Macaca mulatta: one gene and its partner. The protein of the gene in region 1 binds, or shares a complex with, the protein of each later gene. Links are inferred from orthologs where the notes say so. Each region holds a gene or a part of one and is shown on either strand. Other genes may lie near its edges. The genes, in order: ITGAM and PTN.

Region 1 (4,309 bases):
AGCAATAGATACTGGAACATACCTGTAATCCTTCCATCTTGGAGATAACGACTATTAACATTTGGTTCTCCTGCATATATATATGATTTATTTTTGTATGTATGTACTTATTTATTTAATTTTAATTTTTTATTTTTTGAAATTGAGTCAAGCTGTATTGCCCAGGCTGGAGTGCAATGGTGTAATCTCAGCTCACTGCAACCTCCGCCTCCCAGGTTCAAGAGATTCTCCTGCCTCAGCCTCCCAAGTAACTAGGATTACGGGTGCCCGCCACCACACCTGGCTAATTTTTGTATTTTTAGTAGAGATGGGGTTTCACCATGTTGGGCAGGCTGGTCTTGAACTCCTGACCTCCGGTGATCCTCCCACCTCGGCCTCCCAAAGTGCTGGTATTACAGGCGTGAGCCACCACGCCCTGCCTATATATATTTAGAGACACGGTCTGGTTCTGTTTTCCAGGCTGGAGTGCAGTGGTGCAATCATAGCTCACTGCAGCCTTGACCTCCTTGGCTCAAGCGATCCTCCCACCTCAGCCTCTTGACCACATTAGCTGGGACCACAGGTTGCACCATTACGCCCAGCTAATTTTTTTTTGAGACGGAGTCTCGCTCTGCCACCCAGGCTGGAGTACAGTGGCCGGATCTCAGCTCACTGCAAGCTCCGCCTCCCGGGTTTAAGCCATTCTCCTGCCTCAGCCTCCCGAGTAGCTGGAACTATAGGCGCCTGCCACCTCGCCCGGCTAGTTTTTTTATTTTTGTTTTTAGTAGAGACGGGGTTTCATCGTGTTAGCCAGGATGGTCTCAATCTCCTGACCTCGTGATCCGCCCGTCTCGGCCTCCCAAAGTGCTGGGATTATAGGCTTGAGCCACCGCGCCTGGCCTCGCCCAGCTAATTTTTAAAATTTTTTTGTAAAGTCAGGGTCTTGCTGTGTTGCCCAGGCTGGTCTTGACTTCCTGAGCTCAAATGATCCTCCTGCCTTGGCCTCCCAAAGTGCTGAGCTTACAAGCAGGAGTTATCATACCTGGCTAGATATAAAAATTATAAACAGATAATTTTAAACCAAATGTACATAATTTTAATTGCTTTTTTTTTTTTCCCCAGCCAGCAAGCATTTTTTTCCATCTAGTTATCAGGAAAGTAGAATTAGAGGCAAAAGAAAATGTGTTGAATGGTGAAACCCTGTCTCTACTGAAAATACAAAAAATTAGCTGGGCGTGGTGGCACACGCCTGTAATCCCAGCTACTCGGGAGGCTGAGGCAGGAGAATCACTTGAACCCGGGAGGCAGAGGTTGCAGTGAGCCGAGATCACACCACTGCACTCCAGCCTGGGTGACAGAGGAAGACTCTGTCTCAAAAAAAAAAAAAAAAAGGTGTTGAGAAAGAGTGAAAAAAATCGTTGGCTTGAGATTCACATTGGCGGTCACATAAAGGTGAGGTTTGTGTTCCGTGTGTGTGGAAGGATACCTATTTTCTTGTGCCTTCGAAAACAGAATTAAAAGTGACAGACACAGGGGAGGGTAAGGATAGATGACAGAGTGAAGTATCATTGAACCATTCCTCTGTTGTTGAATATTCAGGTCTTTTTTTTTTTAGCCTTTCACTATTAACAATAATGCCGCAATGAACAAGCTTGCATATATATATATATATTTCTTTTTTTTTTTCTTTTTTGGAGATAGAGTCTTGCTCTGTCACCTAGGCTGGAGTGCAGTGGCACAATCTCTGCTTACTGCAACCTCTACCTCCAGGGTTCAAGCGATTCTCCTGCCTCAGCCTCCCAGGTGGGATTGTACGTGCCTGCCACCATGCCTGGCTAATTCTTTTGTCCTTTTTAGTAGAGATGAGGTTTCACCACGTTGGGCAGGCTGGTTTCAATTGCTGACCTCAAGTAATCCACCCGCCTTGGCCTCCCAAAATGCTAGGATTACAGGCATGAGCCACCGAGCCCAGCCAAGCTTGTACATATACTTTTGACTATACTTCTTAACTATTTCTTAGGATAAATTACTAGTAGTGAAAATTCTTGGGTGAAGAGCTTGAGGCCTTTAAAAAAAAACAAAAACAAAACACACACACACACACAAAATAAGCTGGATGCAGTGGCTCACACCTGTAATCTCAGCACTTTGAGAGGCTGAGGAAGGAGAATCACTTGAGTCCAGGAGGTTGAGAACAGCCTGAACAACATAGCAAGATCTTGTCTCTACAAAAAATTAAAAAAAAAAATTAGCTGGCCATGGCATGTACCTGTAGTTCCAGCTACTCAGAAGGCTGAGGTAGGAGGATCACTTGAGCCCAGGAGGTTAATTGAAGCTGCAGTGAGCTGTGATTATACCACTGCACTCCAGCCTGGGCAGCAGAGCTACACTCTGTCTCTGAAAAAAGCACAAAATAATACTTAAAAAGCACAAGGTGTGCCTGTACTTGAGTTGTCCTTGTATGGCTACAAATGAGGACTGCTCTGGCTGAAGGGCGCTCCCGTTTCCATGGGCTGAACGAGAGACATTTTGCAAAGTGTGTTTCCAGGAAGACACAGAGTTTGACCTCCTACACTTGTTTGATCGGTATTAATGTTTGCTTATTTATTTATTTATTTTGAGACAGGGTCTCACTGTGCCACCTGGGCTGGAATGCAGTGGCATTATTGGGGCTCACTGCGGTCTCAAACTCCTGGGCTCAAACAATCCTCCTGCCTGAGCCTCCTGAGTAGCTAGGACTACAGGCATGTGCCACCATGCCTGGCTAATTTTTTAAATGTATTTTTTTGGTAGAGACGGGGTCTCGCTCTGTTGCCCAGGCTGGAGTGCAGTGGTGTGATCATAGCTCACTGCAGCCTGGACCTCAGGCTCAAGTAATTCTCCCGCCTCAGCCTCTCGAGTAGCAGAGGATACAGGTGCGCACCACTGTGCCCAGCTAATTAAAAATATTTTTTTGTAGAGACAGGGTCTCTCTGTGTTGCCCAGGCTGGTTTCAAACTCCCAGGCTCAAGCAATCCTCTTGCCTTGGCCTCCCAAAGTGCTGGCATTAACAGGCATGAGCCACTGCGCCTGGCCCGTATTAATGTTTAGAACATGAATTCCAGGAGGCAGGCTAAGTCTGTTCAGCTTGTTCATATGCTTTGGCCAACCCAAGAAACGAGTATGTGACAAATGGCACCTTTTGGATAGTGGTAGTGACTTTGATGGTTTGAGCCAGGAAGCTGGGGAGGAAGGCTGGTCAGGCTGTGGGCAGTGCTGGGAGGATTGGGAGGAAGACCAGGCAGGGCTGTGTGGTCACTGAGCCTCCGCCCTCTTCCTTTGAATCTCTGATAGACTTCTGCCTCCTACTTCTCCTTTTCTGCCCTTCCTTGCTTTGGCAGCTTCCTTGGGGTTCCTCAGTGGCGCCTGCAACCCCCGGTTCACCTCCTTCCAGGTTCTGGCTCCTTCCAGCCATGGCTCTCAGAGTCCTTCTGTTAACAGGTGCATGGGGGTGGGGTGGGGGACTCTGGGTGAGGAGGAGGGGAACTTTTGGGTCTGTCATAAAGAGAGGGCCCAGAGTATGTAGGATTCAGTCTGGGGAGAGGCAAAGGGGATTGGGGAAGGAGAAAGGGTTCAAGAAGAAGCAGGGAGAACAGCTAGACCCAGACAGGCTGGCCAGGGAAGCCTGGATGAATGACCACATTCATGGACTGTGCAAGGCTGCTTGGTTGGTCCTTGCTTCACAGATGAGGAGACGGAGGCCCAGAGAGGAGAAGTGACATGGCCCAGGGTGCACAGCAAGTGTGAGACCCCCTTCCTGAGTACTTCCTCCTGGATCCCCTCTCACCATCTCCACTTTGCCTCCGGTTCCGTTTTCCAAGGACCCGGGTGCAAATGTTTGTTGAATGACTGATGAATCAAAACGATTTGAGTTTGTTTCCTTTTATGCTTGTATGTTGTGGAAAATGAAATTCTCCACAAAAGGGAAGGAAATGCTTGAGAGCTGCATAGGAAGGAAATTATCTAATTGAGAATGCATAGAAACTTCACTGTTGGGCAAATCATCATTGTGGTGACACTGGGGGAAGAGACCATTTGGGTGCTCAGAAGGGAGGCTGGAATTCAGAGCGGGACTGGACGTACCCCATGATGGTGGTTCTTAGGTCAGGAGTCAGCGAACAGTGGCCTGGGGGCCCGATATGGCCCACCACCTGTTTTTGCACAACCTGCCAGCCAGAGGTTGAAGATGAACACTGACAATCGATTTGATCATAGGGAGCACCACCCCCAAAGAATTCTATTTGTCCCATTCATAAACCTGTATTACGAACAAATTGTACTTAATCATTAC
Region 2 (3,814 bases), on another chromosome or scaffold:
TGTCAGAAATTTTGAAGATGGCTATAGTTGTCGATATTACCAAGTGATGCTATCAGCAAGGCTGTAGAACTGTGTTCAAATGCATGCCTTCAAAGTTCTTTTGCTTCCATAATTTCTGAGTCATACTTAGCAAATGGTTGTGAAGTCTTATGTGAAGAACTGTTGCATTTTGTCAGTGAATACGTGATTGATTGCAGAAGAGCACTTATTTCAATGGCTGTTGGTGAGAATAGATGAAATTCTACCCAAGATAATTGATATGAATCTTCCTGAAATCTAACATTCCAGAAATGGAAAGTGGAGCCTTTCATCAAGGGGTTCAATGAGTCTTCCTCTCTGACTTAGGTTAATGCCACCTTCTTCTCTTTCTCTGTTTATTCCTAGAATGCAGGCTCAACAGTACCAGCAGCAGCGTCAAAAATTTGCAGCTGCCTTCTTGGCATTCATTTTCATACTGGCAGCTGTGGATACTGCTGAAGCAGGGAAGAAAGAGAAACCAGGTAAGCAGTAGGGTTCTGAAGGCAAGATGCTTCATTGATTAATGTCCATCTAGCCTAATTACCTGCTTTTCCTTCATCTCTTCTACTCTGCCTCTCTCCCTTCCTATTCCTGTATTCCTTCAATCTTCCCTTTTTAAAAATAATTATTTAGAGGAACCTAAGAAATATCCTGTCTCCCATTGCAAGTCCTGGATTGCATGACGATGATGGTCTTTAATATAATGATCAAATTAGCAGCTACTATGTATAGAACATTGACCAGCAATCAGGTGCTTTATTATGTTACCTCTCTACCTCAAAAAAAAAAAATGCACTGCAACTTGTTTTTCTCCTTAATTTCAGATTTACAGAGGAGGAAACTGAGGCACAGAGAAGCTAAAGCACCTTCTCTACGCCACTCTCAAAGTCATAAGTAGGCTGTGGAACTGACAGTCTGTTTAAATCTGTGATCCACCATATATGTATGATGTCATTCCTTCTACAAGACAGAGAAAGGAACAATAACTTGCACTGAAATGGCTCATTTGACAACTGTTATTTCTTTCTTTTTTTTTTTTTGAGATGGAGTCTTGCTCTGCCACCAGGCTGGAGTGCAGTGGTGCAATCTCAACTCACTGTATCCTCCATCTCCCGCAATTCTCTTGCCTCAGCTTCCAAAGTAGCTGGGGCTACAGGCATGCACCACCACGCCCAGCTTATTTTTGTATTTTTAGTAGAGTTGGGGTTTCACTATGTTAGCCAGGATGGTCTCGATCTCTTGACCTTGTGATCTGCCTGCCTTAACCTCCCAAAGTGCTGGGATTACAGGCATGAGCCACTGGGCCCGGCTGACAACTGTCATTTCTAATAGAATATTTTCTCAATTTTTAGGCTTAACTATTTTTGATCATCTCTTCTTTTATAGAAATATTTGCTTCTAAAAGGAGATGCCACTAAGTCACTTAGCAAAGTCTCTGGCACATAGTAAGAGGGAGTTAAATTAATACTAGTTTTAGCTCTTTTCTCAGTTTTCTTTCTCTCTTCTCTTGATCATTCTTTGGTTCAATACTTTGGTTAATATTCGTCATATTTCTATTATTCACTGGACAATAAGGATAGAGATTAAAAAAAACACACAGATCCTACAATTAAGGTTCTCAGGAATGAACTTGGTTATATCTGGAAGTTAAGGAGTTTTCTGTATGTTGATTAGGTTTTCTTCCTTTCATTCAGAAAAAAAAGTGAAAAAGTCTGACTGTGGAGAATGGCAGTGGAGTGTGTGCGTGCCCACCAGTGGAGACTGTGGACTGGGCACGCGGGAAGGCACTCGGACTGGAGCCGAGTGCAAGCAAACCATGAAGACCCAGAGATGTAAGATCCCCTGCAACTGGAAGAAGCAATTTGGAGGTAAGCTTCATGCTACTGAGTTAATCTCCTACCCTAAGATAATTCTCAAATTTTTCCACCAAATGTCTTTTTAAGGATGAGTACTTTTTATTTTAAATAACTTTATCTTATCAGACACAAAGTGACCAGATATCTTTCCCAACCCCAGTGTTTCTCAACTTTGACACTGGTCCCATTTCAGGCCAGGCAATTCTTTGTTGTGGAGGTTGTCTTGTGCATTTTAGGGTATTTAGCAGCATCCCCGGCTTCTACTCACTAGTTTCCAGTAGGATTCCTCACCCACTCCAGATGTGAAAACTAAAAATGTCTCCAAATATCTATGGCCAAATGTCTCCTTGTGGTCAAAATCATCCCTGATTGGGAACCACTGCCTTTCCAAAGGGACATAAAATATATCCTTGATTCCTCCTAATAATGTTCGTTGATATATCTTCTCTCTCCTTTCTTCTATTTCTAAGTTCCTTTGATTTTTCCTTTCCCCTTTTCTTGTTTATTCCCCTTCTTCTCCATGTCCCTCCCTGTCACTTTCAGGCCTTCTCTCTCATTTGATCCCTCCCCACCCTCCACACAGGTTCACAGATTCACTTATTGAGTCCAGCAGGGCTGCTCACAGTCACTTTTCATAGATCTTTCTCCCACTGGCTAGAGTCAGTCTTATGCTGGCCTGATCTATCTATCTGAGACAGGATCTGTCAACACTTTCAACTTTATATCCAATATTGAACCCTCAAATAACCTCTTTCTTCCACGATCCAGACTTTTTGTCTTTGGGGACATGATTCCTGAAATGTCCTACCTGTGTTCTGTGGAAATGCACTGTGGCCCATAGACAAGTGAGGAAGAACAATGGATGTATACACGTACATCTTTTTCTCCCTCTGTAATCTTTGGGGTATTTTCTATTTGAATGGAGATAGATAAGTTCTATAAAAGCGTGATGGAGAACAGGTACATTTGGTCTTAAACTGTATCTGGGCACCTCAAAAACCTATTTTCAAAAAGTTTAAACGGTCTATCTTAAAGACTTATATTGAAAATATTAAATAACTCTCAAATTCAACAGTAAACAACAAAACAACAGCAACAAAAACAAAACAACAAAACAAAACAAACAAAACTTAACAGTTCAGTAAGAAAGTGGGGAAAAAACATTAACAGACCTTTTACCAAAGAGGATATATAGGCAACAAATGAATTCCTGAAAATGTATTCAACATCTTTTCCTTATTAGGGAACTAGAAATTGAAACCATAATGAGAGATCACTCTACATCTATAAAAGTGGCTAGAATAAAAAATAGTGACAAGACGAAATGCTAGTGAGGGTGCAGGGAAACCAGATCCCTTATATGTTGCCAGTGGAAATTGTAACGTGGTAAAGCCGCAGTGGAAAAAGAGTATTGCAGTTTTTTACAAAATGAAGCATGCATTTACCATGTAACACAGCAGTTTCTTGGTCATTTATCCCAGAGAAATGAAAACTTATGTTTCCACAAAAACCTATACATGAATTTATGCAGGAGTTTTATTTGTAATAACCCAAAGCTGGAAACAACTCGGATGTCCTTCAACTGATAAATGGTTAAACAAACCAGGGTACATTGGCACTGTAGAGTACTACTCAGCAATAGGAAGAAACAGACTATTGATGCACCCGACTTGGGTGGATCTTCAGGTAATTATGCTAAGTAAAAAAGAAAGCCGATCTCAGAAGTTTACATAGTGTAGAATTCCATTTATGCAACATTTTTCAGTTAGAAAAATGATAGAGCTAGAGAACAGATTAGGAGTTGCCAGGGATTAAGGAAGTGGGGAAGGAGGAAGGTGGCCAGGCCATGACTATAAAGAATGACCCAGTGTTGTGTTGGGACTGTATATTAGTGGTGTATATTAATGTATATTAATGGTGTATATTGATGGTGATTGCAT

The links.
Region 2: the proteins of ITGAM (region 1) and PTN are in contact, whole or in part, in an NMR structure (PDB 8VOH), measured with the Homo sapiens proteins. The link is inferred for Macaca mulatta from reciprocal best matches to the Homo sapiens genes ITGAM and PTN. Residues at the interface, in NP_000623.2 of Homo sapiens: Pro273, Asp276, Arg277, Gly279, Val280, Ile281, Arg282, Tyr283, Lys306, Pro307, Arg309, Asp310, His311, Ala334, Ile335, Glu336, Gly337, Thr338, Gln339; in NP_001308315.1 of Homo sapiens: Val56, Pro57, Thr58, Ser59, Asp61, Cys62, Gly63, Leu64, Thr66, Glu68, Thr79, Lys81, Thr82, Gln83, Arg84.

Annotation. Positions count from the first base shown.
Region 1 is NC_133425.1:29,918,727-29,923,035, forward strand, and holds the start of ITGAM (integrin alpha-M), read left to right. Parts: upstream 1-1,406; 5' UTR 1,407-1,431; intron 1,432-3,341; exon of another isoform or gene 3,342-3,359; 5' UTR 3,360-3,431; coding exon 3,432-3,459; intron 3,460-4,309.
Region 2 is NC_133408.1:177,081,905-177,085,718, reverse strand, and holds part of PTN (pleiotrophin precursor), read left to right. Parts: intron 1-384; 5' UTR 385-385; coding exon 386-500; intron 501-1,712; coding exon 1,713-1,886; intron 1,887-3,814.